3 linked regions of the Danio rerio genome follow. The protein of the gene in region 2 purifies or fractionates together with the protein of the main gene of each other region. This does not show direct contact. Links are inferred from orthologs where the notes say so. Each region holds a gene or a part of one and is shown on either strand. Other genes may lie near its edges. The genes, in order: ppp2r5a, axin1 and dvl1b.

What was found.
Region 1: the proteins of axin1 (region 2) and ppp2r5a purify together in Homo sapiens (affinity purification with western blotting; 3 studies listed by BioGRID and IntAct, with this or other methods). This does not show direct contact. The link is inferred for Danio rerio from reciprocal best matches to the Homo sapiens genes AXIN1 and PPP2R5A.
Region 3: the proteins of axin1 (region 2) and dvl1b purify together in Homo sapiens (affinity purification with western blotting; 3 studies listed by BioGRID). This does not show direct contact. The link is inferred for Danio rerio from reciprocal best matches to the Homo sapiens genes AXIN1 and DVL1.

Annotation. Positions count from the first base shown.
Region 1 is NC_133195.1:14,407,854-14,418,133, forward strand, and holds the start of ppp2r5a (serine/threonine-protein phosphatase 2A 56 kDa regulatory subunit alpha isoform), read left to right. Parts: upstream 1-4,400; 5' UTR 4,401-4,816; coding exon 4,817-4,973; intron 4,974-10,280. Other genes in the region: dtl (denticleless protein homolog), read left to right, coding at 2,680-2,796. UniProt on the Homo sapiens protein: The B regulatory subunit might modulate substrate selectivity and catalytic activity, and might also direct the localization of the catalytic enzyme to a particular subcellular compartment.
Region 2 is NC_133178.1:42,710,819-42,720,998, forward strand, and holds part of axin1 (axin-1), read right to left. Parts: intron 8,724-10,180; exon of another isoform or gene 7,500-8,723; intron 5,312-7,499; 5' UTR 5,224-5,311; coding exon 4,337-5,223; intron 1-4,336. UniProt on the Homo sapiens protein: Component of the beta-catenin destruction complex required for regulating CTNNB1 levels through phosphorylation and ubiquitination, and modulating Wnt-signaling.
Region 3 is NC_133186.1:26,529,288-26,539,567, reverse strand, and holds the start of dvl1b (segment polarity protein dishevelled homolog DVL-1b), read left to right. Parts: upstream 1-4,581; 5' UTR 4,582-4,856; coding exon 4,857-5,026; exon of another isoform or gene 5,027-5,261; intron 5,262-10,280. Other genes in the region: mxra8a (matrix remodeling-associated protein 8a), read left to right, coding at 154-179. UniProt on the Homo sapiens protein: Participates in Wnt signaling by binding to the cytoplasmic C-terminus of frizzled family members and transducing the Wnt signal to down-stream effectors. Plays a role both in canonical and non-canonical Wnt signaling.

The sequences.
Region 1 (10,280 bases), on a different chromosome or scaffold from region 2:
TGTCTGTCTGTCTGTCTGTCTGTCTGTCTGTCTGTCTGTCTGTCTGTCTGTCTGTCTGTCTGTCTGTCTGTCTGTGGTCACGTGATGTGCGTTTTCAGCTGATGGAGGGCTGTTCAGAAATGCTAGGTAAAACACGGTGTGGATGTGGATTATTTTTGTTCTAAAATGCCATTTTAACAATATTAGTGTAAACGGGGCCTAAGTGTGTATTTTTACCGAGCGGGTTTGCGGCAGGGGCGAGGCGGAGGATCGGCGATGCCAGCTCAGCATTGTGTCGTCTATTAGCCATCAGCGATGGATAATAACATCATCTATCGGCCCAACCCTACTACCTACATACATACCTACCTCTGGTGTTCTGGAGGAAATGTACTGTTGATCACATTACTGTACTTTTCTCATATGATGTGCAAGAAAGTTACAACTTACAAATATGCTAATTTGATTTATTTGTTGATTCGTTGTTAAGCCCTACTTTACAGTAATCATTTTGTTAACAAAACTAAAGGCTTTTGCATACCAGGATGATTTTTTAATGGTGCTATTTCCCATCAAAGTCATATCACCCTACAGCCCAAGACTGGTTACTCACTAAAGCAAAGCAGGACTAAGCCTTGTCAGTATCTGGATGGGAAACCACAGAGGAAAATTAGGTAGCTGTCTAAAGTGGTGTTATTGAAACCAGAAAGGGGCCCCCCAAATCCCTCCTCGCTCTTCAGAGATGTACCGCTGGATCGCATCTCACTATAGTTGTTTACACCTCTTTCCTGACTTTGAAAATATAATTGGCTGAATTGTATAAAAACCTGAATTAAAAATTATGCGTTTAGCGTAGAATCAAGATTGTGATCTTTTTTTGATTAATTGGCAGCTCTATATTGAATGATGCATCAAAGAGGCTTGATTGCAAATCACTGCCACCTTACAGATGAAAATCCAATGTATAGCATGATAAATATTCCAGAACAGTTAGCTGACTCGATCTCAAATTGGGTCAGATGTAGTGATGAGCGGCAGCCACTGCAAACTGCTGATGCTTAAAGTCATATTGTGTGAAATAGATATAACCTAACTGAAAACTAAGCCCTCTTTAGTATCTAATGATATCCATGTCATCCTGTCTTGAGCCATGGGCACAGTAGATTTTGAGCATGCAAAATAGTTGTTTGGTGCTGCGAAAAAAGGCGGTATAAAACTAGATGATGCGACCTCACTAAAAAGTATTTATTGTTCCATATTTTACATTTCTGTACAGAGAGGTCATGTCTTGAACTTCTGTTGGTCTCTCGCATTTACAGGCCAGAGTTCACCAAAATTGAACTTTGGAATGCAGTAACTTGCGAAACTACTAACAGGACAAACTTGCGTTTCCTGCCTAGCACATTTTCGTACCTATGAATTAAAATTCTATGGGGCAAAAATGTAGCGTGACCACAGCATTAGTGTCAGGAAAAAGCTTGTCAACTAACAATGTTTCCCCTTATTTTTATTAACAGTTATAACAACAATGATTTGATGTTTTTTAATATAATCAATTGTCCGCTTTTTCAGTGGCCTCAAATATGTTTGTTTTTTGCCTAATAAAGAGGACAAAGTTTGAAGATTTAGACCTATTAAACGTTGCAAATAAAAAAGTGTTTATTAATATATCAAGTTTTGTTTCTGCATCAACTAAAACTGCAGACTAAAAGATCAATCATGGAATTTAAAAAATAATAATGATTTGTTTAAATTAAGAAAAATTAGGCCAATAAAACAAATCTAACTGTGCTTTCAACACTTTGGACTGCACTCTGGTTTATTTGGCGTCAAAGTACAGTGCGTTTAGCTAGTGTGAATGTGTCTTCTGAACTCGGGTGTGCACCCACAAATCGTACCCGAGTCTGAGGTGGTCTTAAGTATGGTTTGTGCAAACTCTCGTACCGTTTACTGATATGACTGCAATAGAACCAAATAGCGGCAGTGAACCGTCAACTGTACAACATACTATTGTTTTCATTGCGTTTATTCGTGTGTTTGTATGTTGCCTACCTTGGTGACAAGCGGGACTGAGTCAGTGCAAACAGTGATAATGTCTGCTTTTCTCCACCAAAACTTCTTGTGATGTTCTGAATGTTTTAATTTTTTTATTATTTTTTTTCAGGCTGATATTTGCAAGTGGCTGTGTGTTTTAGTTTTGGTAAAAAAAAAAAAAAAAAGTCAAATTATATGGATATGCAGTTTTGGAAACTAAACTCTTCAGTACGTTTTTCATTCAAATACCATAACACCTCACAGTTAAGAATAGAGTTTTTAAATTTATATTTCAAAAGATTTTTTTTTTTTTTTTTTTTTTTTTACTTGATCATTAAAGACTCTTTAAATTCTAGTATTAGAGTTTCCACAATGTAAACACAATATTAACACTAAGAAATCTGTCTTCATCATTAAATCATGTTTTAAAAATTTCGGAAATATAATGTGTTGCAAAACACTAAAGTAATTGCTGCTGATAAATCAGCTTTTGCGTTTTAGGAATAAAAAAAATTTTAAGTTTTCTTTTTGTGTTCATTTTTCACAATGGAAGGGTTAAGGGAAATGCCTTGGTATGCATCTTTTAAAAAATGCATATTATATAAAAAAGCTTCTGATTCTTGAAATACATTTTCAGTATTAATTTGTTTATATTCTTCTCTCTAGGCAGCAGTCTCACCTCGTCCCATGAAAGTTTTCTCTCCACCAACAAACAAGAAAGCATCACCTTCCAAACCTATGAAAAAAATCTCAAGCTACTTTATGAAAAGAACCCAAGACTGACGTGCATGGGTGCATGCCTGCATGCCTGTGTGCGTGCATGTTTAAAGAGATTACAAGTGTCTTTCATTCTACACATTTATGGTTTAAATTCAGTTTCAGCTTTTCTTGTAACTGAGCTTCAAACCAAACCTAGAAAAGATTTGCAGATTCTGCCTGTATTTATGTATGTAATGTGTATTTTTTTATCTAGTTGTGCATTTATTTTTAAATGTGTAAAAATATTTTTCTAGAAAAGGGTCAAATGTATGATCATTTACAGTCATTTGACACCACAGTTGAATTCTAAAGTTTCTCTGATACCTTCATGTCTGTCAGACAGTTTGAAACACTTTGCTCCATTTAACATGCTTTTTAAACTATATTAAATTATATTTGGGTGTTATAATCAGTGTTATATCATACTTTATTTTTTATTCCAATTCTAATACTTATTTCCAAATGTGTAATGCCCTTTATTTGAGATTGTCCTTAAACGTGGGTCACATTTTCAGTTCTCTATTGATTGTAAAGCAGCACTTTACATAACTAATCCATTTCCAATTAGCCCACTGCTTTTTACGTATTGAATCTCTATAATGCAGTAGGGTTTTTTTTTTTTTTTGTAATGATTTAAATACCTTTTACATTATAGCACAGCCTTTTTTTCTTTTTGTAAGTTTGTGTGAATAGCTAGAATGTCACTTAACTAGAAAGATCTGCCTCAAAGTTTTCATCCTGCTTGTTATTTTGTTTTATTTTCACTATATCTTCAGCATGGTGGGTCAGATATGCTTTTTGCATACAGAAACTTAATTTTAGCTATAGAAATATGCCTTGTTCACCTAGACATGGCCTAGCAAACAATTTTAGATGTCTGTTAGGTATCAAAACGTTGAAGGATTGGCTAAAACAAGCCTAAACTTGGGCTGTCATTGAAAATCTAATAGATTAATCTAATATAATAGCCCAAAACTATAGTCGTCAAATAGACAGATTAGACTATGTGTGTATTAATTTCTGTTTATGTAATAACTAGTCTAGTTTTGGCATATTCTTAGACATCCATTAGATTTTCACTGACAGCCCAAATGTAGCCTTGTTTCAGCTAAGACCACTGTCTAGACGTATATTAGACATTTTTTATAAACAAAAAAGGAAGTTGTTTTAAACATTTTCTGTAAAAATGTGATCGTTTAAATTATTCTCATAAAAAAGTTACATTTATTTGCGTTCTAACTACGAATATTGATTATGCGTTTGTTTTATTTCTCAATTTGAGGATTGTCCCTTTCTCCTTTGACAAGGCTCCAAGTTCAACTAACTCTCACAGTGTTTCTCTTTAAAATGTTTAATTGTGGACGTTGTTTTTCCTGTATGTTTGTTTTATTTTATAATTTTATTTATTTATTTTATTATTTTTTTTTTTTTGAGTGGTTGAACGTTTGTTGAAGTTTTGTTGCATGTTTTCATGCGAGTTCAAGGATACAGTATCTTTTTATTTGTGTGTTTCCCTAAATACCATTAAAACAAGAATCTGATTGGTCAGTGGGCGGAGCTTGGTGTTTGTGCTGGCGCTCGTTGGACGAACATGCTGTCACTCAAACGCGCCACGGGGTTTTATTTTTAGACTCCATTGAGGCGCAACAGCAGCTGAATGAAGTTCAGCGGGTCTGAGGAATTTTACCCTCGGCGGATTCGCATTAAACTCTTTTCCTCATATGGAGTGTCTCCTTGGATAAACGCGACTGCATTTTTGTACTCGACATTGTTATATGGTTTTGTAAACATTTAAGCATGATAAAAGCACGTCAGTAACTAACGTCTACGTTTATACGTCATCTTAGGGTACCTGTGGATCATCATGCAGCCTCCGCGAGTGGGCTGACAGTGTCACATTAGATGGGGTCTCGTGAGTTTAATGCATAGCACAGTCAATGGGATGTCTGCACTCAAGTCTAGAGAACATTTAGGGCACACTCGTTCACTGTAGGCGCAGCTTTTTTTTTTTTTTTTTTTTTTTTTTGCTAGATCTGCTCTGGAAATGTCGGCGATTTCTGCGTCGGAGAAAGTGGACGGGTTCACGCGGAAGTCTGTGAGGAAGGCGCAAAGGCAGAGGGTATGCCAGGGCTCGTCTCAATTTGCGGTCAACAGCAGCAGGCCTGCGGCTCCAGAGATCTCGGCGCTCCCGCAGCTCAAAGGTAAGAGGATAAAGCTCTGCAAATATACACTCGCGGGCTGCGTCTTAAACACTGGGCAGCTGTCTAAAATATAAAGGAGCTCCTATAAAGGAAGTTCCCTTCATAAAAATGTGCTGTCGTTTATAGGAAGCACTAGTGTTTTTGAACCACACTATAGTAAAGTTTATTCGGGATGTTTACTGCAGGTATATATTATAGTGTTTATCTATAGCAAACTGATATACTAATAAATAATGTGGTATACTGGTGTATTGTAGTATGATATAATGTTACTATATTTGTAGAAGGTTTGTACAGTAACAATTTGTTTGTTAATGTTACTGTATTGCTGTTTCAATAGAAACTTTAGAATTACCACAACACAGTAATTCAAGTACAACTATACTATATAAAAGCCACCATATTTTCCAGAAATTACTTTAGTTAGTTTTTTTTTTTATGTTGAAAGTAATCAATCTTGGCATTACAGGTAGCTTGAGTTACATAATCAAGTAACCAAGGTTTGCGTTACTTATTACCAAAATAAGCAACGGTGAACTAAAATATGACTTTTTTTTTTCCTTCAATTTTATACGGTTCCTTTTACATCATTGATGTTGTAATGCAATTAAAATATAATCTGTTAAAAAGACTTAAGCGTTCATTTAGTTATCTAAATGAACTTAGTTCATATTTCAAAGACAAAAAAAAAAATAATTTGATGCAGTGCTTTTTCTATATTCTTAGACCTGCTTTATAGCGTATAGCATTTAGGCAGTGAAGATCCTTGATTTTTAAAGAAAACAGTTCTTATAAATGCACAGATTTTGTATCTGTTCACCGGAAGCACTTGACCCTGGTTACTGCAAAATTAAAAGGCCATCCGAATACTTCTGCAAATATATCCTATTTGAAAAAAAAAAAAATGGTGAGCAAGTGTAGAATACAAATGTATGCATTGAGCACAAATATATTCATACTGTAATTATACCTTAATTGGGTTGGTACACCCCCCTCCCCCAAAAAGTCTGTTATTACCCCTACTTCGTTCCAATCTCGTAAAGGGGTGTTCCACTATGATATAGTGATTGGAATTTCAGATCATTTTATTGACTCGGATCTTTGAGTCTCGTTCGTCGAGATGAACAAAACTTTTATCGAGTCATTTCGTTTATTTGGTTCAATTTTCCAAAAGAATTGCTTCCAAACACATCTACAACTAGCCCAAAAGGTTGATTACACAACAAATAAGTCATAAATAGAATACTATAAGAAGGAGAAAATAATAATTCAATGTTTACACGCTCTTTTGTCTATGAAGGTATTGTGGTCTCTTTGCTTAGCTCACCTCTTCATGCCTTCAAATGTCAGTGGTTCGTTCACGTTACACTGACAGTCACATATAATCTTAATTAAAGTACACAATCTGAGCCAATAGGAGCCATGATAATTAGTTCACCTTTTCGAGTCTTCGAGTCTTTCATTCATCATGTGACAGAATGACTCAAACCCAAGAACTTGATAGGTGACCGGATCAATTATTTTTCCGGCTCTAAACGCATATGATTGGCCTGTGAGGAAAGAATGACTCAAACCCGAAAGAGGACTCGATAGATGAATGGATCTATTCTTTTACCGACTCTAAACGCATATGATTGGCCTGTGGGGAACGGATGACTCAAACCCGATAGACGACTTGAGAGATGAACGGATCAATTCTTTTTCTGTCTCTAAACGCATATGATTGGCTTCTCCCTTTCCGCGATGAACGACTCAAAAGATACCACCTGCACAAATGTATGCACGCGCGAATGAATAAATCACTCCCTGAGAGGGCTTGTAGTTCAGAAGTCATATTAAAGATTCGTTCAAAATGAACGAATTGTTCAAGAACGACCCATCACTACTATGATATCATATTTTAAACACTTAAAGGGTGACGAAACACCAAAACACATTTTTTAAAATGTTGACACTTGACAGTCGTATATGTGTCCCACACTGCTAAAAACACTATTAGGACACATATATCTCACTAAAAAGTAAAAATTAGTTGTTTTTGCGTTATTTTGAGCAAATTCGTACTTCCGGTTTAAAACTAATTTTTGAAGCTGCATCACGGCCATGAGATCTTAGCGTGTATTCCAGCTTGCAGACGGGACGTCTGTACCTCAGCGTCCCGTATTATGTTTCTGAGTGTGTTGCATTCATTCATGAGTAAGGCTTGGTTCAAACCAATCAGAGCGCTCATTATGTATGTTGCTGCATGCAACTTCATTAATATGCATGCTAGCTTTTTTAGACTGTACCTGAAACAGTGTTCAGACGGCAGAGAGACAACACACGTTGTGTTGCCAAACGTTGTGGGAAAAGAATAAGAACTGTTTGGAGATACGGGTCGCCAGTGTTGCTTTCATCATGTGAAGGTTTTATTTCATTTTCTCTTCATGAGAGCGCTGCTTAACCCACGTGAGAGGAAAAAAAATTTCTCACATCAATAGTGAGATCCGGATTTGATGCTCCAGTATGTGCTGATTGCCCTGTCTACAGATTCTGTAAGTTTGTGCAATCAGTGCCCTTTCTTTCTTCATTCAGATGGCAAAGTTATAGTTCGTATGGTCGGCAGTACTCTTTCAGTGTATAAAGACAGACCTTAGTCAAAATGATTTCTAAGTTACTTAGTTTACAGTACGTTAATATCACTACAATATTGAAAGATCCGCTGTAAATGCTGCTCTCTGAGTGTAAACACGTGAACACTGTAAGCAAACTTTTGCCGACCGTCGTGTTAAATTTTTGCTGCATTTTGTGACAGGATAGTCTACACACACACAGCTTTCTGACCTACTGAGTGCATATGAGTTACAGAGAAATGCAGAGGCTTTTTTCTCTTATACGACGTGTGGTATCAAACATTTCACTGTCATTAAACACACTGTCTTTCTTCCCTGCGTGTGTGTTTGTTTTTTCTCGGTTCTCAGCGCGTGCCCAAATGGCAACTCCCATTTTTATTCAAACCCTGCCCATTTTCCCTCCCCCCGACACTCCCACCCAAACAGAGCTAGACACACCCACTTTCCTGACTTTTTCCAAACTAGAGGTGTGAAAACAAGGCCCGCCCTCAAGTGACTGATTGGTCATCTATCATAGAATGCTGTGATTTGCAGATTGGCTCCAACAGTCAGTCAACCTCATGCCTGCCTTCTAAAATAAAATCTGACAAGTGTCTGCGTGTGTGCGTGTGTGTGCGTGTGTGTGTGTGCGTGTGTGTGTGTGTGTGTGTATGTGTGTGTGTGTGTGTGTGTGTGTGTGTGTGTGCGCGTGTGCGCGTGCGCGCGTGCGTGCGTGCGTGCGAGCGAGAGAGAGAGAATTGCCTGTAGACGCGTGTAACACGAGAAGTGCATGTCGGGACCAATGTCTCTTTTTCTCTGATGCTCGGATTAAGTTATTTTCTGTAATATACAGTATCACTGTTGACTGAAGAATAAAGCACAAGATGTGGGATGCAACCTGTGTGAGCCTTGATTGATTTTTCTGCTGCAACACGAGTAAGGCGAGTTCCCCTGTATTTTTTTCTACTCAATGCATTACACAACATTTTTACATATATTCGGAATATGCATGTGTAAGTAATATGAATCATTAACATATCTTTTGCGAGTTCATTATCTGAGATGTAGAACGCAGTCACACGCATAGAGAGACACGCACATGCTGGTGTGTGTTTTCACAGCGGTTTGACTAATAAATATGAATTTGTAGCTAAATTGTCAGCAGTGCCAAACAGCATTTCCCGTTGTTTACATCTTTGCTACAGCAGACTGTTAACGCTAGAAATTGTACATGTCATGATCAATTTTAACACATAAAAACACATATAGATTGTGGCTTAGAGTTCACAGCCTCTGCTTGTTGGAGCTGCTCCTTCTCTGAGGAGATTTAACTGAATCCAGCACTGAACTAGGAGAGATTCTGGAAGTTGTGTTTAGTCAAATCATGCTTGCTGTGTTAGGGTTGGGCGATGTTGATCAATTTGGCATCGTACAATGTCTAATGTGAAACATCGCGATGAACGATGCCATTAATAATGAATTAATTAATTGTAGTCTACCATTTTCACTACATGACCCAGATGATCTTTGCTTTACATATAACCAAACCATAAATAAAGTTACAAACAAATGACCACCTGTCAATCCATTTTTTCCGCAGGACTCTGTCATGAATAGGCACAGTGATCTGTGTTGTTCTAATGGCTTTTTCCCAAAGCCGGTGAAGGAGATGAGAGTTTGGTTGGAGTTCACTGTAGTTCATACATTTTCATAGTTTTCCCTGCAAAATCCACACCGCGTGCGCAGATTTAGGAGACATTTATGCAGAATGTATCGTTGCACCTAAAAACGCTAAGCGCAGCACTCAGGAACAGATTAAAACAGTTGTTATGTGAACTTGCTGAAGTAAAAAAGCCAGCAACGCTTGCCCTGCCTTTGTGCTCTTATTAATGGCTCACTGCTCTAGAACTGAACATGAATGATTGGTTAATATCTCCTGTCAATCACTCAGTCAATGCCTTCTGCCTTTAGGACAGGAGCTACAACTGTGAAAATGTGAAGATGAAGATGAGAGAATGAAAATAACAAATAAATAACACATTTACCTACAGTTACTAATAATAGCAGATCTTATTAGTGATCATGTGCTTAATGTTAATCCCCCATTTACAAGAGAGGATAAAAGACTTCCAATGTCCAAAGTCCGCTATGAAAATGACTAAAGCCACTCACTATAAAGTCTGTGGGACGGGGTTTGCAGGTAACAGCATTTTCCATTGAATCTACACAATTTAAACGCAAAAGGAGCTGTATATTCTTTCATTTAATTCTCACGATGTTGTCAGCCGTGCAAGCGGCAGCTATATGTAACATGTACACAGCTCATGAAAAGACCGTTATTAAAAGATGACATGCAAATCATAAGTTGTATATCATCAAGGTCTTCTTTTGCATTGAACTATGAACATTTTACATGCAGATATGTTGTTTATGTTCACACTGCTACATTACACAACAACTAAAGTTTGAAATATGAAATCGTTGTAGACCATCCCTTTAAATATTTTAGATGAAACCCGGGAGCTCTCTCATCCTCAATAGACAGCAAAGTTCCCGAAAAGGAACCAAAAGCTTTCCACGTCACTCAACTGTAGTCAAGTTCCAAGAAGACTTCAGATTAATTTAGAGTTACATCTTTTTACCAAAATGAGTATCGGCGATAAAGTTTCTTACCCCCTTCCACTTTTTTATTCACTGACTGCACTCATATTACAAT
Region 2 (10,180 bases):
TGAAGAAATGGCAAAGATACCAAGAAAAGTCATGCAACTTAAAATATTTGAGAGAGTTGAGCTTTCTGACTTGACTTTTATTCATTTTTAATCCATTCAGCCAAACTCTGGGTCTAGCGGAAACACCTTTAGCTTAGCTTAGCATAAATCATTGAATCAGATTAGACCATTAGCATCTCATTCAAAAATGTTCAAAGTTCTTCTGTACACATTTTTTTTTTATCAGATTGGCAAGGATCTATCCAGGGTAACAATTATGTAACTTTGCTGCAGCAGGCACAATGATATTATGCAGTGCCTAAAAATCGCCTTACTTTGGTTTAAAATAACAAAGTTGAAAGTTACCTAGCTGGAGACAACTTTCCTCTGCATAAAATTGCATGTGCTGTAGCCAAGATATGGCATCAAAGTTCCGATTCTGACACTGGAAATAGAATACAGTTCCTAATAGGCATATCCCAGTATAAGTTTCTGACAGCATGATAACCTTGGATAGAAATATCACGGTTTGACTGTATTTTGATCACTGCTCTAAATTAAGGTATTTTTAAATGTCTGGGTAAAAAAGAACAAATTTTTTTCCCCCAACTGAACACAATATATTTAATTTTAAGAAACATTTACCATATTTTGGAACAGTAAACAAGCCAGGCTAAATAATTAAAATAAATAATTGAGTTCTGCAATCTTCATTGGTTTCAAAAACACAGAAAACACACAAAAAACAGTATACTATATACCTTATACAATATATCAGAAACCACTGTACATGTCGCAAGGCCTTTGAATGTTGTTGTGGACTATATTCTCTGACCAACATGCACTTTAAAGGCCGGTTTTACAAACAGGACTTAGCTTAAGCAAGGACTAGCTCTTCACTAAATGGAGAAACTAGGCCGCCTTTATAATCATGACTCAGAAAAACACATTACTGGTATGTATCTTGAAACAATTCTATGGCGCTGACATATTTTTGGTTTACATTACTGAAAGTTATTTTACATGCAGTTTAGACCAAAATTTGCCTTAAGCTTCTGAAACTGGGGAGAAAAGTTTGATTCAAGTCAGACTAAAAACAATAGCTTGTCTTTAAAAAAACACTGTAAATGCTAGTCCAAAAAGCTAGAAATCAGGTATTTAAGTTTTTAAATGGATATTTAACCAAAAACTGAAATCCTGGCATTTTTTAATTCTATAATTCTTTTAAAACATGTATGCCTTACTTCTGAATGTTACTGACTTCCACTGTATGGACCAAAAAATTTTTAATTGGGGACTAGGGCTGTGCGATTAATCGAAATTAAATTGCAATCGCAATTTGAAATGTTGCATTTTGTTTAATTCCACGACGCTATGATTAGAAATATGTATTTTTTTATTTCACCTGCCGTCTGTTTGTAACAGTCTTACTAGCCAATTGAATGAGCAGACTTTCGTTCTGCCCAATCAGAATTGTGCAACCAAACTATGTGGAACGCTCACAATAAATATAAAAAAAAATAAATAAATAAAAAAGACGAAAGCGCAGACAAGTGGGATAATGGCATCTGCTATTTCAGAATCATTAATAGAAGAGTCTCCTCTATCATTAAGACTTATCTATTGTACTAAAGAAAAATAGCATTAGTAATATGGGAATATTTTGGTTTCAAACTCAGACACCGAACAAAAACAGGCAATTTTTAAGAGCTGTCACACAATTGTTGCAATGGCTTGCAGATTATTGAACTGAAGCTTGACCACAAAATTGTATCGTAAATCAAATCGCAATTTCAATATCTGTCAAAAAAATAAATAAATAAATATTTCACAATTAGGTATTTTCCCTAAATACCACAGCCCTCAAAATGTGTTCACAGAGGGAAAAAAAAGTCTGAGGTTTGAAGTAACAAAGTCTGATTTTAAGGCAGACTATCAGAGCTATCTAAAAAAAAAAATTTTGCTTAGCTTCACCCAGGCATGCAGACCAGTCAAAACTCCACAAAAATAGGCAAAAATGTTACATGAGTTCAAAAAAGGAGTCATCATTCAAAATTACAGCTTTGGCGAAAGCAAAATGTGCATGGATGAGCAGTATAAACAATCATTGAGGTTTCTGTTGAGCTTATAAATGCACATGTAAAAGCAATAAGTGCAATCAGAGGCATTTAGATTAGTCACAGCCTACTAGTTGTCAAGTGTGTTCAAGCTCACTGACAGAATTATTATGGAATCTCTCATTATAAAAAACAAAGTGCAGATATGCAAGTGATTCATGAAGTGATTAATGTGAAAAGTCCACAAGTAGCACTAGACTAATATTTGACTTGCATATGTCATGTGTAGCTAGAATATGCTACTTGCTCAAACTCTAAATTATTTTAATAAGTATTCTATTATAAACTGACATGAATAATCATTACAATTTTAACTATGTTAAAAAGACTTATGTTGTGATGCAGTCACACTAGAAATTGAGCTTGCAAAATTCTGTCGTATGGCGCTGCACAAAAAATAAAGACGATTTTAAACATTTAAAAAATGCAGGGATTGGTCCATATTTTAAATTTCTGTACACTGAGGTGATGTTTTGATCTTCGATTGGTCTCTCACAGTAACGTGATGCAATTTCACCAAGCTTAAAATTTGCAATGCAGTGAACTGCGAAACTTGTCGCATGAGCTTGCATTACCGCATTTGCGTGCATTTACATGGAAGTCTATGGGGGAGTAAATTGCATGTTTTAATCATGATTCTGCTGCCCTACTCCACATTAAGGTCCTTTAGTGCAGTGTTTCTCAACCACATTCCTGGGGGACCACCAACACTGCATGTTTTGGATGCCCCCTTTGTCACACCCATTACAGGTCTTTCAGTCTCAGTGAATGAGCTGATGATCTGAATCAGGTGTGTTTTAGCTAAAAAGACATGGAAAATATGCAGAGAAGGTGATCCTCCAGGAACGTGGTTGAGAAACACAGCTTTAGTAAAGTACATCTTGTATGCAAATATAATGAATTGTTGCTAATAGCATTGGTAACATTTGAAAAAAAAACTCAGATTGGTTGCATTTAATTATTTGAGATGATAGAAAACAGATTCACAGAGAAGATATTGTCCTTGTAAGTGCAAAAAGAACAGTTCTTGACATAAATAACCAATTATTAATTGGACTGATTGATAATTTTGTCAACTTCTGATTTTCTGGACTGTGATGTGGTAAGATGCATTTAATGTATTAAATATGTTGCATTGTGTGTACCTGACAGCATAAAAGCAGCTAGAGTAATAACAGCGCACGTAAACTGCAACCAAAAATTGTTTGTACTCTGGCAAAGGCCTACAAACACTGCATACCTGGAGCAGTTATTGCTTTGATATGCCACGGTGAATGCACCTGTCGATATTTGCTTTTAAATCTGGGATGGAAAGCTTTGTAATCTTCAGCAGAGGCTGTTCAAAGGCCCACATGCACCGCTTTCTATTCCAGCAGGACAAGGATTAAAGTATTTAGCAGTCACATCTCTAAATCCCATTTTGCTCATATGGAGGGACTCGAGGCTCTGATGCATCAAGTGATTTGCTGTAAATTTCACAGTGCGGCTTAAAAAGCACGTCTCTGCAGATTAAACGATGTCGGCGCGATGCACGATATGAACAAGAAAGCTCCGTGCGCTAAAAGAGCACAATGGGCCGTCACAACTGGTGGCGAGGAATGCCTGGGGAATGTCTGAGCAGCAAAAATTCATTACAAAATACAATACCTGAAGCACACATTCCAATACGCTCGCTCGGCACGCAAACCACGGGTGGCATGAGAGATAGAGATCTAAACACGTTCAGAAACGCACCGAATCCATACGCAGCACTGGGCTTCAAAGGGCACCGGATCAGATATACGTAAAAGCACCGGTTAAATCAATGCTGCCAAACTTTTTGGAGTGCTGTGCATTGCTTTCTCTTTCCTGCACTAAATATGCAGTGCAGCGTCTTTGTGCCCATTCTAAAGAGAATCCGTGTTGTGGTTCTCCTGAAGAAACCTTTATTCTGCTGCAAAGCCTGCCATTCAAGAGACACCTGCATGGAGAACACAAAGAGCACCCACTTGCACCAACTCGCAGTAGGCAAAGACAACGCTGCGACCCAGTATCTGTCTTGCTAGCTCAGTCGCAGCTACTTAGAGCTTTCTGCCTATACTGCATTCCTCTCATCTCCTGTGGAAGGCTGTGCTTAACTCAGATTCCCGTTTTATCTTTTTCTTCTGACTGCGCTTGCACCGCGAGGGGGAAGGGGGATGGAAGAAGACAGAAAGAGAGAGAGAGAGAGAGGAGTTTTTTTCAAAGCTGCAGGGATTTACCTGTACTCACGGTTGTCCTGATATCTTTTACTGTTGGCCACCCGCTGAGGCACCGTTTCCAGAAGCAGCTTCTGGGTGAGCCTGTTGCTGGGAGTGGGGTCACTTTCCGCGATCTGCTCCTCCTCCTGGTCGCACCTCCACTCCACGTCTTCGATCACAGTCGGCAAGTAGCCCGGCAAGACTTTGCCGTTGCCTGACACCGAGCTCTGGTCGCTAAACAGTTTGGGACTCTCTCCGCCAGTCCTGGTGTACTCCAAGTAAATGTCGGACTTTAAAAACAAAGGGTAGGTGTTCTCCTCCATCATAGTCTGAATTTCCGTCTGCGCCTGGTCGAACATAGCCGGATCGATGTGCAGCTTCATCACGCAGTCTTTGATGAAGCTCTTGGTGGCGGGTTTGATCTGCCGGGATACGATTCCATTGTTATCCAGGATGTACTTTTTGTAAATGGCCTTCGCGAGTTTCAGCATCTTCTCGTTGCCATCGTTGGCCTCTTGCTTGCGGAATCCGCTGCAAGCGAACCAGAAGTCCAGCATATCCGCGCACTCCTCTTGCTTGAGGAAAGTCCTAAACAAGTGGATGCCGTCTTGGTCGTCCAGCAGCGAGTGTAAGGATTCCGCCCATTTTAAATAGGGCGGCGTTGGGGAAGCGCTACCCTCGGGCTCATAGCCCAGGTCCAGGTCGGGTCGTCTAGGCGTAGCTATGGAGGCCTCGTTCTTGAGGCTGTCGCTTTTGGACGAGTAAAAACTGTGGTTGTATTGCCGTCCATCGCTGGACACCAAATCGCCCTCCTCCCCAGGGACCGGGGGTCTGGGGGCATCCTCAGTGAAGCTGCTGCCCAGGTCTGGCAGATAACAGATGCCCTTCTCGTTTACACTCATGCTCATAGTGTCCCTGCACTCTGTCCCAGTACAGCCCACGAGGCAGAAAGTTTATATCCAGACTTCTATTAATGCCACTGCGAAAGAATTCCTCCTGCATGAGAAAGACAACGAGAAAAAAGAAAGCATTCAATAAAGCTCTTGCAGAACATTTATTTTAAAAATCAAGTGACTGACATGAATTTGGGTGTGCCTGCTGGCATGTCAGGCTAAATAATTCACATCATCGAATTGATCATTCTGCCATCTTCATTTGTTTCAAAAACACAGGTTTGTAAATAAATGTAATTAAATATCTTACACATGAGTAGCCCCACACGGAATCCGCGCACGCAGAAATCTGCAGATTTCCAGCCTATCATTGAGTCTACATATTTACTTGTGGTGTATTTACTTGTGTAAATGTGTGTAAACTTATTTTTAATCAGTTTCTGTAATGATTTCACTAATATTATTGTGATTTAATAATAGTCATTTTTAAATGTTCATGATTTAATAATAATAATACAGTTAAGTAATACTTTTGGTCTTTTAGTAGATATATTATATGAGAGTTTATTAAATAAGTGGATCCAATTGGATTTTATTTAATATATTAAGTTTTTAGTTAGGATACTCCTAAAATCATTCCATGTAAATCCGCAACTTTTACTAAATTCTCTGCAGAAATGGCAAAAAATGTCCGCAGATTCTGTCTGGCCCTACACATACAGTAAGTTACCATTTTTGGATCACTTAGAGGGTCTCAAGTGTCACGGATGTAACCCTATTATGAATTATGTACCTTTATAAGACAAGATGATGAGGTTACATTTTACATAAGGGTGTCCTTGTTACAGGGTACATACACAAATCAGTATAGGCCAATATTCACAACATATTTACTATGAGACAACTTTGACTGCTTGTAATTCAATCATTCATTCATTTTCTTTTAAGCATAGTCCCTTTATTAATCCAGGGTCGCCACAGCAGAATGAACCGCCAACTTATCCAGCATGTGTTTTACGCAGCAGAAGCCCTTCCAGCAGCAACCCAGCACTGGATAATGCATGTAATTATGCACATTTCATTTACTGCATTGCTATAGAAGGCACATCTATTGTTTCTTTTAGTTCCTGGGCCATACCATATTTAAAAGCTGATGTTCCCAGTATTTAAAGAACCTTCACTGTCACAAAACGCATCCCTAACATGAATTATGCACCTTTATAATACAAGATGATGAGGTTGCATCTTACATAAGGTGTCCCCGTTACAGAGAATATAAACAAATCAGTATAGGGCAACATTCACAATGTATTTACTATGAGACAACTTTGGCTGCTTGTAATTCATTCATTCATTCATTTTCTATTTGCTTTAGTCCCTTTATTAATCCGGGGTCCCCACAGCGGAATGAACCGCCAACTTATCCAGGATATGTTTTACGCAACAGAAGCCCTTCCAGCTGCAACCCATCACTGGGAAATGCTTGTAGTTATGTGCATTTCATTTACTGCATTGTTATAGTAAGTGCATGTACTGTTTCTTAGTTCCTGGGTCATACCATATGAAGCTGATGTAACCCGTATTTAAAGAATCTTCACTGTCACAAAACGCATCCCTTATATGAATTATGCACCTTTATAAGACAAGATGATAAGGCAAAGTTGCTTTTATTTTCACACATTTGTTCAATGACAACTTGTGAAATTATCCCTATAGTGTTAACCATGATACTTTGAACATTCAGTCAGAAATTAGATGTAATTATGACTTCAAAACAACATTAGCACTATTTATTTGACTGTGAATAATGTTGTACATCATGTTTTAACTATTTATAAATTGCAAAAATTGCATTGCTGAAATTATATTATTAAGGAGGTCTAAATGTGTGAATATAAAACCAACTTTACCTCAATACCTTGTTACAAGGAAAATACAGAAATCATTAAATGTATTCACAATGTACTAACTATAAAACAACTTTAGTTGCTTTTAATGTACTGCACTGCATTAGTAAGTACATGTAACAAACATTACAGCTAAATTAAATGCCACCACAAAGAACCACGGCACTAATCAGATAATAGTCAATAACATTGTAACAGCAACTCAAACGGTAATGACACCTCAGTAGACCTTTCGGGCAACATAAAACCAGTGTTATCAAAGTTTAATCAAACACAGCACAGCGCTACAAGCCCATCAAACTTCCAGTGGCCTCGGGCGACTATCTTAAAGCAGAGATAGCAAAAAGGGGGCAGCCATCATGGCACAAACACTCTTGAACTCACCTGTGACACGCTTTATGACACCATAAATCCAACACTTTCAAGTTCCGACCTTAAAACCTGTGACTGCCTGCCAACTAGATTGCGTCTGATGTGCTTGATAAGCGAGCTGGGGAGGAAAGAAACCTTGAGCTTTCCGAGTCAATAACTTTAACAGCGCGAACTTCAATGGCGATGAGCTAGCAGGCTAATCCAGCGCGAGACGCGCATTTAGAAACATTTTACGCAAACGGGGATGTTGTTATCTAAATTAAACCACACTAGAAGTGTATATTGTGTACAGCTACGACGCAAAAAAACAACAAGCACAAGTCAAAAACAAATATGACGAACATCAACCGCATCAAAGAGGGTAGCGCGCGAGGGGAGGAAGTACGTGCGGCGCGAGACCTTCCCTCACAAGTGAGCGTAGACGGCGAAAAAAACACTTTCACCATCTTTGAGCGCACGAGCCGACATTTCTAGCGAGCTCTCCCCGCTGATCCGCTCCACGGATCCGACTCAACTAGTGTGAGAACACGTTGTCACAGCACGCTAGCCATCTTTACGCACCGCAAACGCCGATCATCCCACTTAACGTTACGCGGCGCGGCCATCTAAAAACGGATCGCTGCGTTTTTTCCTCCGCTGACGACATTACAACACCCCTTTCGCTGCCCTCGCGATCTGCTTTGAAGTGAGCCCCACATTCATCGCATTCATGTCTCGGCCTCAGCAGCAGCAGCAGGAGCGGATGGGGGAGGGGAAAGTAAGAAACAAACTCCATACACACACATACACACACACACACACACACAGCCAGGCCCTTCCGCAGCCCAGGGACTAGTGTGCAACTTTGCAACACTGATTTTCGCACTCCAACACGCGCCGATCATCCGAGCGCGAGAGCATTATAAGCGCGCTCTCGACCTGACGGAGGATTCGGGCGCGAGCAGCGAGAAAAAGCGACGGTGCATTTCATCTCTCTATATCTATCTCTCTCTCTCTCCCTCCGTTACCGCAAACCCCCATTACACCCAAGCCAGGAGAAGGAAAGAAAAAAGTGCTCCGTACTGTACCTGTGAGAACCTACTTTCCGCTTTCGAGCGCATCGGGAATAGCGTTGTATGCGGCGAGATGTGAATCGTGTCATCGATGCGGATCTCGGAGTTTAAAAATAACAAAGAAAACAGTCGCTTCTCCACCTCTCCATGGCTGTCTCTCGCACTCCTGTGCCCGTGTGCGAGTGAGCGAGAAAGAGAGAGAGGGGAGCTGGAGATGTGCAGCGCCGCGCACGGCCAGAAATCACACTGCCGCCTGGAGAAAAGAAAAATCAAGGCGAGGAAACCCTGGAGTGAGAAGACGAAGAAGAAGAGGAGCGCCTTCAATCCTCTTACGCCGCACTCGAAGGTGCTGTCAGTCTGCAGTTGCTAATTAAAAGGTTTGGAAGGAAACGGCGTAATTAAAGTGATGTACACTTGATGATGAGACGCGTTTGGAGTCTTCGGGAAGAGCTGTTTTAGGCTAGGGTGAGCGGGTCGCCCCCTTATGGACGCCGCCATGTTGACATCACATGACCAGCTGTGTTGACCGTTTGTGTTTATTACTTTACGGGCGCTGATTTAAACAAAATAAGCTCAATATACACTCTATGGTGTGTAAAGTAAATAAATAAAAGCAAAAGGTATTGGGGATTTCCTGTCAGGGCTAGTTTACAGACATTTCCATTAAATGGGATAGTTCACCTAAAATGAAAATTCCCTCACCATTTTCTTCCACTCAAGTGGTTCTAAACTTTTTATGATTTTATTTCTTCAGTTAAACACAAAACAAGATATTCTGAAGGATGTTGAAAGCAGTCACTTGACATCCAATGTATGAACATACAAACAATAAAACACCCTAAAACGACAGCAGTGAAAACACACTGTTAATCGGCTATATGCATACAGACTTCATTTTCAGCCAGGCAGCCCAAGGGGGCTTCCTCTGAACTGTCTTTCCATTACAAAACTTTCACATTTAAGATCTGATTTCTATAAAAATCAGCGATCTTCACTGCCTGTTAAATATATATGATATGAAGTGGGTCTCAGATCGGACAAGAAGCACTGCATTAAATTCCATTTCCCCCTGCTAACAGTTTATTTCACCCCAACATTTTCAAAGAAATTTCTGCGCCAGCCTAATGCTGCGGTTACAACGGTCTTTCATCTTATTTTATGCTTGAGCAACTAAATGATTGCTAAATGATTAGTCTATTTAACTGAATGTATTGTAATGACAACATCGATGCTGTAAAAACAACCATGTGAAATTGAAAATACTCACATTAAGCTTTCACCGGAAGTTTATCGTTGGCTTTAAAACTCTTGCTGTGCATTATGACAGAAGAAGGGGGGTGAAAAGTATTCCCCTTAATGTCAAATCAAATGCAATTTATAATTTAAAAATGCAGGTGAACACCACCTGTGAAAATGTACTTAACCCTTTGACTGCCCAATCTACCAAATGGTTGACCTTGTTTTGACTGTTTAAGTCATTTAAATAATGGTTTACACGTACACACAGCATTGTTCATTTACAAAACAATCAAGACATAATCCTGTTGCACTACTTCACTTGATTTTGGTTTTATTGTTAAAAAAAAAACATGTTAATCTGAAATATTTTATGGCATACTTCAAAAAATAAAGGTGATTTAG
Region 3 (10,280 bases), on a different chromosome or scaffold from region 2:
AAAACAGCATTTTATTGTATTTGAGTTATTTTGAATAAATGTCTTTAGTAGAGAATAAAACCAACATTTTGTGTATGTATCAATGCTATATTGTGTGTGTGTGTCCAAATTCACACCATCTCTCTCTCTCTCTTTCTATTTTTCTCTTTGCAGAGATGGAAAAAGCTTCTTGGAAATGAGAGGTACTTTGCCACTGGCTGGTCCAGGGGCAGATTGAAAATGGAAGAAGAATGAAATGCTGAGAGGCAGGAGTGTGGCAAGGGAATAAGAGGAAAAGGAGAGAGGGACACAGCTGTACAATTTTTTTTCTGACTCAAGATCCTCCATTGCTCTCGTGAAGCTTGCAGGAAGCAAAAGAGTCTCACCAGCAGTATTTCGGATGACTGATATATTAAAATAATGGCAAACGAACATTTTACAGCACTAATAATAACACAGTCTGCATTTTATTCCCTACATTTGTCACACGCTTTATGAGTGAGAAGTAAACACACACAGACTGATGTGTCCTGAGTGTCTGAATGTTTACAATGGGAGATTTACACTAACTGAGAACGAAACATGTCTGTGACACAAATATATAGCAAACTTAAAACGGTATAAACTTCTTATTTGATATGGAATCAAATACCGTGCAACACTTTTACAGTTTTAAGGTGATTAATTTGGTAATTAAATCAGTATGGCCACAAATATTGCAAAAGCTATAGCAAAATCACATCTTTTTTTCTCAGCAGGTTTAAACTGTGCATTCTTAAAGCTGTAATTTATAAATGTAGCATTACGCAGACATATAAACAAGGATAAAAGGGATAATTTACCCATAACTTAGCTCATAATTTAGCCCAGATTGAATCTAAACATTAAAAAAGCTTAATAAATTATGTTCTAAATGTGTAATAAAGGATAAAAGGGATAATTTACCCAAAAATAAAAGTTCTGTAGTCAATATTGTTGTTTCTTGTCTGTGTTGTCATATAAAAGCTCCTATTTTAGCCCAGAATGAATCAAAACATTAAAAAAGCTTAATAAATTATGTTATAAATGTTAAATAAAGGATAAGATGGATAATTTACCCATAATTTAGCTTATAATTTAGCCCAGATTGATACTAAACATTAAAAGAGCTTAAAAAATTATGTTATAAATGCTAAATAAAGGATAAATGGGATAATTTACTGAAAAATAAAAGTTCTGTGAATACTTACTGACTTACAAAACTCTGGGTTTCTTTCTTTTGTTAAACACAAAAGAAGATATTTAGAAAAATGTTAAAAACATGTAAGCATTGATTTCTATACTTTCCTTCTAGGGAAGTTAATTCTAAAGTCTAATTATTTTCTTATGTGTTCAACAGAAGAAAACAACTTGTAAATGTTTGGAAACACTCGAGGGAGAGTAAATAATGAGTAAAAATTCTTTTTTTGCATGAACTACTCCTTTAATTAAATCACACTCAATTATATTTTGCCTATAAAGCTGAATTTGGTCTGTTTGGTCATGTAAAAGCTCATAATTTAGCCCAGGTTGAATTAAAACATCAAAAAGGCTTAATAAATTATGTTATAAATGTTAAACCTACACTTTTACAGGTAAGCACAATTAATTTAGTCAAATTATTTCATAGTGCAAGTCAGGATAATATTGTAAACGCATTTAAATCTTTTCTTTTTTGTTCATTTTGATGACTGTTACCATTTAACAAGCTACATTTCTTTCATTTCATTTATATCCTGTCACCAACAAATACTGTTATCATTTGTATATTTTCATATTAACTTTACAAGCCTTACTAACTTCTTTGTCACTGTTTGAATATTCTATTAGTTCAATGTATTTGCTTCCATGCTCTCTTCTAACCGCCAGCTTTGTGTTCATTAGCAAACAAGTTAGAGTGAAACTGATGCTAATCCATTAAGGTACAACATGAAGTCAATTTTATTTTAGCAGCTTGTACACGGCTGTGTATATTCATAGCCGTGAACATTTCTTCTCTGGGTTACTCAGATCTGTGTTATGCGTAGTTGTATCTTATTAAGGTGAAGCTATGAAGCAATGCTTATGCCTGTTATGATCATTTCATGACACTTTAACTGCCCTTTGAATTTCTTTAAAGCTTCCGTGTAAGAATTTCACAAGGTTGCAGGAGGAATTTTCTGGTTTGATGCTATATAATGGATGCTTGATTATTCTCATCCTGAAGCAGTTTTAGTATTGATGACCTTATTTTCGAGTTCGCTGCCATGTTCAAAGCAGAATCAAATAAATTCAAATAAAAGTTAACCTCTGGATTACTTTGGTTTGATGTAGGTTTTTTTTTTCAGTTCATATTACATTGTAGGCTCAAGTGCATCAATAGGCTTGATGTTTTTGATACTGGGAAGAGATGTTATAATTCAACAAAAAGCAAAATGTCTAATGGACTGCAATAAGACGATGACTGTAGTGTTGCTTAATTTGATTGACATTTCCTGTGATTTTGCCTGGAGTGACATCAGGACTGTCAAAACAATAATTCAGGCATTAAAACATTTTATATTTGACGCACAGCACTGAAAAATGTCTAACACAATGTTCATATATATAATGACAAAGATCTAATTCATTATTAATAATTATTATTCAAACAAATACATTTTTTTCTGAGTGAATGTGTGTTATATGTTTATGAGAAGAATTATTAATAAAAACAGCAAAATAAACCACAAAAGGCTAAGAAATCTCTGTAATTCTTTTTTGTGACTTAAACTATAATCAAAATTACAATAAAATGATAGAAACATATAAAAACAAAACCAAATGACAAAATGACTAACCCTTAGATAAAAGTATAAAAGTCAAAATTTTGAGAAATTATTTTTTATTTCTGGGACGACGCAGTGGCGCAATAGGTAGTGCTTCACAGCAAGAAGGTCGCTGGGTTGCTGGTTCAAACCTCGGCTCAGTTGTCAGTTCTGTGTGGAGTTTGCATGTTCTCCCTGTGTTTGCGAGGGTTTCCTCCGGGTGCTCCAGTTTTCCCCACAGACCAAAGACGTGCAGTACAGGTGAATTGGGAAGGCTAAATTGTCCGTAGTGTACGTGTGTGTGTGGATGTTTCCCAGAGATGGGTTGCAGCTGGAAGGGCATCCGCTGCGTAAAAACATACTGGATAAGTTGGCGGTTCATTCTGCTGTGGCGACCCCGGATTAATAAAGAGACTAAGCCGACAAGAAAATGAATGAATGAAACAAAAGAAACTATTTCAGCTACTTCACCAAGGAATTATAATAAACTATGAACCATAAAATATGACATAATTTATTAAATATAAAGTAAGTAAATACAAATGTATTCAAAAACAAACAAACAACAAGATGACTAACACTTTGTACAGATAAAATTATACAAATCAAAATTGGGAATTTTGAGAAATTATTTTTTAAATTCTATGAACCATAAACATAATTTAATAAATGTAAAGAAGCAAACATTAATAGCTTTCGGATATGACACTGCCCAGTTGTTTCCTTTTTTTTGTGCACCATATAAAATTAATTACAAGCTTGATTATGAGCAGCGATAAATATAAACTAAAAACAATGAAACTACAATCATTTTGGTAAATGAAACAACCAAACAAACAAAAAAAAAAAAACATTAACAGAAAGAAAAACAAGAAACTAATTTAATTTCGACTAGTTCACCAAGGAATTATGTACAATTTTCATTTAGTTACATTTAAAATAGCAGAAAATAAAATAAAAATAAAAAGGTCAGACTAAATACAGATCCAAAAACAAACAAACAACAAAATTACTAACACTTTTTTTTAGATAAAATTATACGAATCAAAATTGGGAATTTTGAGAATATTTTTTTTAATTCTATGAAACAAAATACAACATCATTTAATAAATATAAATAAGCAAATGTTAAGTAAATTGCTTTCTAATATGATTGACAGTTCCCAGTTGTTTTCTTTTCTTTTTTGTGCACCACAATTCATTAATAACTTGATTATATGAGCAGCAATAAATAAAAACTAAATCTAAAACAATGAGGGGGTGTCACATTTACTACACTTATATTAATTTGTATATACATTACATTTTGATTCATACAATGCCACACAAAACTATGGAAGTTTTTTCCTAACAAAATAAAAATAAAAATTCAAATGCCTAAAATCAAATAATAAATCAAACTCTCAAAACAACTACCCAAATAATAAATCAAATGCTCAAACTATAAATCAAATACTCAAATCCACAACACAAATGACAAATCAAAACCTCAAACTGGCATTGAAAATGGTGAATCAAATAATCCAACCGACTCAGCAAAAGGTGAATCAAAACATCAACCCTTGTTAGGAAACCTTAAACATTGTTAGGAAAAAACCAACATATAAAACAAAAACAAAAAAAACGAATTTAAATAATTATATTTATATATTTTTTAGTCAAATCATTTTAATTTACCGCTTCATTTCCCGCTGCCGCTGGAGTCCAGACTGGCCATGTCTTGTCTTCTGTCTACCGCACGATGGCAGCACTGCGCCGGAGAACAGCTCGGATATTCCAGCCTGATTCTCTCAAGGATGTGAACCTTTCCTTCCTGTTTCAGTAACACAGGCAGCAAAACCTCCGCATAGTGAGCCGCACCAGACATCTATCAGGCCTCCATAATGGCTCTGCTCTTATCCCTAGCTTTAAAATGTCGCTTAATCCATAGCTTCAATCGCGCCAAACGCGTGATTGCGTTCATTTAGCATCCATCATCCCAGACCTTTTTATTTATTGTCGCCGCACGTCTGGACTGGCAGGCAGCATCAGGAACACGCGCTGTTCTCCGGCAATTGTTCTCACCATATTCTCATGGCGGAGACTAAAATCATATACCACATAGACGAGGAGGAAACTCCCTATTTAGTCAAACTGTCAGTGGCTCCGGAGAAGGTAACTTTGGCGGATTTCAAAAATGTCCTCAGCAACCGACCGGTCAACAGCTATAAATTCTTCTTCAAATCTATGGACCAGGATTTCGGGTGAGTGAGAGGATGCCAGGTGTTATTGTGTTCCTTCATTTGTGGTATGCAGAACGAAGCTGTCATTGATGGCGGTAATGGTTTTGTCACGTTGGCACCTGCCTGTCAGTGCTGATGATGTCTGTATCAGCATCACCATCATCTCCTCCTTTGTGGGCTCAGCATCAGGACAGATAGAGTCATGTCCAATATGCTGTAGCGCGACGTACAGTCCGTCTCTTTGCTTCTGTGATTTGAATTTTGAACTGGTTTGTTTTGCATGGTAACCGAAGTTTGACCTTTCAAGACAACCAGCATTAACTGGCTAAAAATGATTGACTCCTGATTTATTTGTATATTATGGACTTCTTGTTGTGTCTGTGTTTTCTGTCAGCTTATATTGTTGATTTATTTTCTGTCAGCTTATGAAATCTTTCTTCGCTGGATTACTGGGATAAAATAAATAGGAATACATCTTAGCTTGGCCAAGCTGTTGTTAGGGTGTGTTCACACTTGTAGTTCGGTTCTCTTGGTCCTGCTAAGAAAGATTATGATATATTTGCACTTGGCGTTCACACTGCTCATGTTTTCGATTTAAGGCTGAACCAAAATATACAATATTTTACATTTTGTAGTAAAGGTTTAAGCATAAATTGTGTGCTGTAATTAGCATTGGGTAAGTTGAACAAAGTAATTAATCACTAATTACAAAGTACTTCATTAAAATTGTTTTTGAATTATTTTTCTAATTACTCTGTCTGAAAAGTTATTTAGTTACTTCTTTAAAAGCCTTTAAATCTCAGTGCATAAACAATATAAATAAAACTCTTTAAATACTTCAAATTTGAGTCAAACTCATATCTATCAAAATATGAAAAGTAATAATGGCACCATTTTTCATACACATCACCTTGTTATTCTTTTCTGACTCAATTTAATAATTTCTGATTTCCTTAAGCTTGTGCAGTGGTCGGACAAATCTTTACTCTCTCTGCTGCTTAATCTGAAAAAGCTTTAACAAGAGCAGTCACAACAGAGATTGTTTTGATTGAACCAAACCTGCCAAATTTGAACATCGATACTTTGTTTTTCATGCTCTACCATTAGATTTATACAGCGACTCCGAAGGGATGTGATGGTCGGGAAAAAAATGGGTGGAAAAAAAAAATGATGAGTGATAGGACAAAAATATTTTTAAAAAATAAGTTTTTGCATTTCCTCTCAAAGATATTTGTGTTATCTCACAAAAATGTTTTGCATTATCTCACAAAACTTGTTCCGAAACACTTCCTGTTCACTTCATACATATCAATCCTCCCGTTTTTGCCGTATATATTCCCGCTCTATCCCACTATCATCTTGTTCAAGTATTTTCCCATATTTCTCCCATATTTTAATCTTAAAAACACATTGAAATGAATATAAAAATGTTTGCAATTTTCTTTCCATTAAAGCTCTGTGTCAATTGTCGGGCTTCCTATGCAACCCCTAAATCAGTGAATGCATAAGCGTTGACTGACTGATTGACGGACGCGCTTCGTATGATAAACTGATCCCAGATCAGATTCTGTACATGCCATTTAAAGAGGTGCTAACGTGCAGGACACTTTGAGTTTTGGGTGTGTGTTTACAGAAAATACACTTAATAATATGTAAACATGTCTGCAACTAATAATATTTTGATCTCAAACAGTTACTAAAGTAAAACTTTGTGAGGGAACATAAAAATATATTTTCCTATCACTCTTTTTTTTCCCACCCATTATTTCCCCACCATCACATGGCTTTCGGGTCTCTGTAGATTTGTGATGTAAATCCGAAGTCATTTTCTTTGCCTAGACCAGGGGTGCCCAATCCTTTTCCTGGAGATCTACCTTCCTTCAGATTTCAGCTGCAACCCTGAACCCTGAACACACCTGTTGTTAATTACCAAGTGCTCCTTCAGATCCTACTTATTTGGTTTAGTTGTGTTTCATCAGAGACAATAGCTGTTTCTCAATTTCAAGAACGCAGAGAACGGACTTGCGTTCTTGTGAACGAAAGAACGCACCTGGGAGACCGCGAAAACACAGAACACGTCCTCTGAGAAATGAGATGCTGCATTTTTCCTGATGGTCACATGATCTTTACACGTTTTTAACAGAAAATTATTTAAACATTACCACATTCATACGATTTAATGTTTTTCCCCTTTTCAATATATAACATGCACAAAAACCTTACAAATATACTTTGCCCAATACAAATAAAACAGATTTTGATACAAATTTCAGCAAATAAACAGCCCTAATGTGTTTATGCCTTTGTTTAAATATTTTATTAAATACTAATAAGACCAAAGAAATGATTGTTGATTTCAGTAGACATCCACCACGAGCGGTGCCAGTGATTAGACAGGAGTCAGCAATTGAGAATGTTTCATCATATAGGTACCTGGGTGTATATCTAAGTTTGATTGGTCTGAAAATACAATTCAGGTAAGAAGGGTCAGATTCATTCATTAAAACAACTGAGGTCCTTGTGTCAGACACTGTTAAAACTTTTAATGATCCTGTGGTGATTTCTGTGATCCTGTATGCTGTAAGCTGCTGGGGAAGGGGACTGTTGGAGAAGGAGAAGAACAAATGAAATATGCTCTTAAAAAGGGCAGGTTCTATTGTGGGGTGTGCACTACCCACTATAAAGGAGATGATCGAATGCTGGACAAATTTGTCATGATGAACCATGATAGTCATCCCCTTTTTGATATGGTCCAAGGGTGTGCAAGCTCTTTTTGTGCAAGATTAATTCAACCCTGGTGTTACAGAGAAAGATACTGGAAGTAATTTTTACCAACAGTGATCAGACTGTTTCACCAAAGTCACACCAGATGATTTGTACTAATTATAATCATTATTAGATATGGACAAGTGTTTACTCATTGTTTTTGGAACTGATGTATAGTATAATTGTAATTTTATTATTGTTTTTATATATATGTAACTTATTTGATCTATTTTAGTATGGAAAGCTATGCTGTGACGTGAATTTCCCATTTGCGGATTAATAAAGACAAACAAACAAACAAACAAACAATTTCAATTATTTATTATTCAATTGTTTATTTTCACCATCTCATTCAAAGAAACTCCTGAGATAAGTGAGTTCTATTCCTGAACTTAAATTATAAATATATATAATGTGCTGCGATTCAAACCTCTTTTATTCAGTCGCAATGACTTCTGGGACTTCTTGAGTGGTTTTTGTTCTCAGGTCTGCATTGAAGCATCCTCGATATCAAGAACACATCTGGGAAGTTCTTAAAGTCTTTGTTTTGGAACTGAACTTTGACGGTTGATGATGATGTTATATGAGTACAGTAAGACGCAAGATAGCTGAAGAACACATATTAAGATACAGCCATTTTGTATTAGTAAATGTTTTGATGGTTTGTGGCACCCTGTTTGATGAGGCTCCATATAAAATGCATTCTGGTGGCAGGAAAGAAGTTTTGCTGTTGGAAAGATTATCCACTCTAGTCTTGTCTGAGCAGTCTGATGTGATTGTCATCCTCTCTGTGAACAGCTGCCACTTTCCACATATAGGTTACAAAATAGGGCAGAAGTAGTAGGTTTCCTTCCAAGCAAATTGTCAGTGATAAGAGATGCTGATAAGATAAGAGATGATGAAAACGAAATATAGGACCTTATTGCAATGAGTGAGTAACATCACAATAGTGTGGCACAAATAAATGTAGCATTTTGTAAAACTGAGATTATATTTATAAATTATAAATTTTTTTATATAGATGTTTAATAATCAAATATATATTCAGAAAGGTAACTAAATGACTGTTGAATCAACAGCAGAATCAGAATGAGCTCATTGGTGAGTTTGTTTAAACACATAAGGATTTTTGGTAACACTATAATAACTGCATACTATGAATCATCTATTAAGCGTTAGCAAATAGGGAATTCGTTATCTGTTAAGCATCAACTCTACATTAATAAACGTTAGTAAGCAGTTTATAACTGCAGCTACAAATGCTCCATTCTTGACTTATAAGCACATTTATAATGTGCTTAATAATTGTTTTCATACTTTGTAAATGATTTATTTTTCATCACTAAATGAAGTATTGCATTATTTACAAAGCAGTTATATGAGCATAGTTAGTTGTTTTTTTAAGATCATTCAGAATGAGTTAGTAAATGATTAATTAACCATTCAAATTAATATTTATAATTTTTTATTATTCAGGCATATACTAATAGGCAATTTGTATCTTAATAAATGCTTTATAAAGTCAGCTTGATCTAGTTTTGTTACCTAATCTAAAGTAAGGACTATTTATGCTTTATAAATCCCTTTTAAATGACAATTAAAGGGTCAGTTCAATACTAAACAGGAAAAAAAAAAACATAAACGACTTTTCTATCATTTAAAGACAAACGAAACGAAACTGGTAAATATTTGCAATCTTAACTAAAATAAAATTACTGTACAGTTTGAACATTGCATATATTTTTTACTGTTGTTGTTTTATCCAATTTGATGCCATATTTAGACACTACTGTTATTCAGCAATGTTTAAACTACAGTAATTTTGCTTTTTAGATAAGATTGCAAAGATTATTGTTCATTTGATACTGAGGCTTTAATTGCCATTTATAAGGGATTTATAAAGCATAAATAGTCCTCACTTTAGATCAGGTGACAAAACTGCATGAAGTCGAGTAAATAAAGCATTTTTTAACAGAAGCAATTAACTATTAGTAGTTGCCCGATTAATAATATATACAGTACATGTTGATTACAATAGTTTATTAATCATTTATTAACTCATTCTAAATGATCTTAAAAACTTCCAACTACTCTTAAATACAAATGGTTTGTAAATAATGCAATACTGAATTTAGTAATGAAAAATCAACCAGTCACAAATGATAAAAGTACAATTATTAAGCACATTATAAAAGTAGTTATAAGTCAAGAATACAATATTTGTAGCTGCTTTTAGAAACTGCTTACTAACGTTAATTAATGTAGAGTTATTGCTTAACAAGTAATAAATACAGTAGATGCTAATGCTTAATAAATGAGGGTGTAGTTTTTATAAAGTGTTACCGGATTTTGTTTTGATGTCATAACCCATAGGGGCGTAATGCAGACTTGGAAAAAACTTCTGTAAAATAAAAACATTGAAAGTAAATGAAATATAATGCTGTACAGTAATACAAGCGAACATAAAAAGAAAAATAGTAATATAAATTATATGAGTAAATGATTTGAC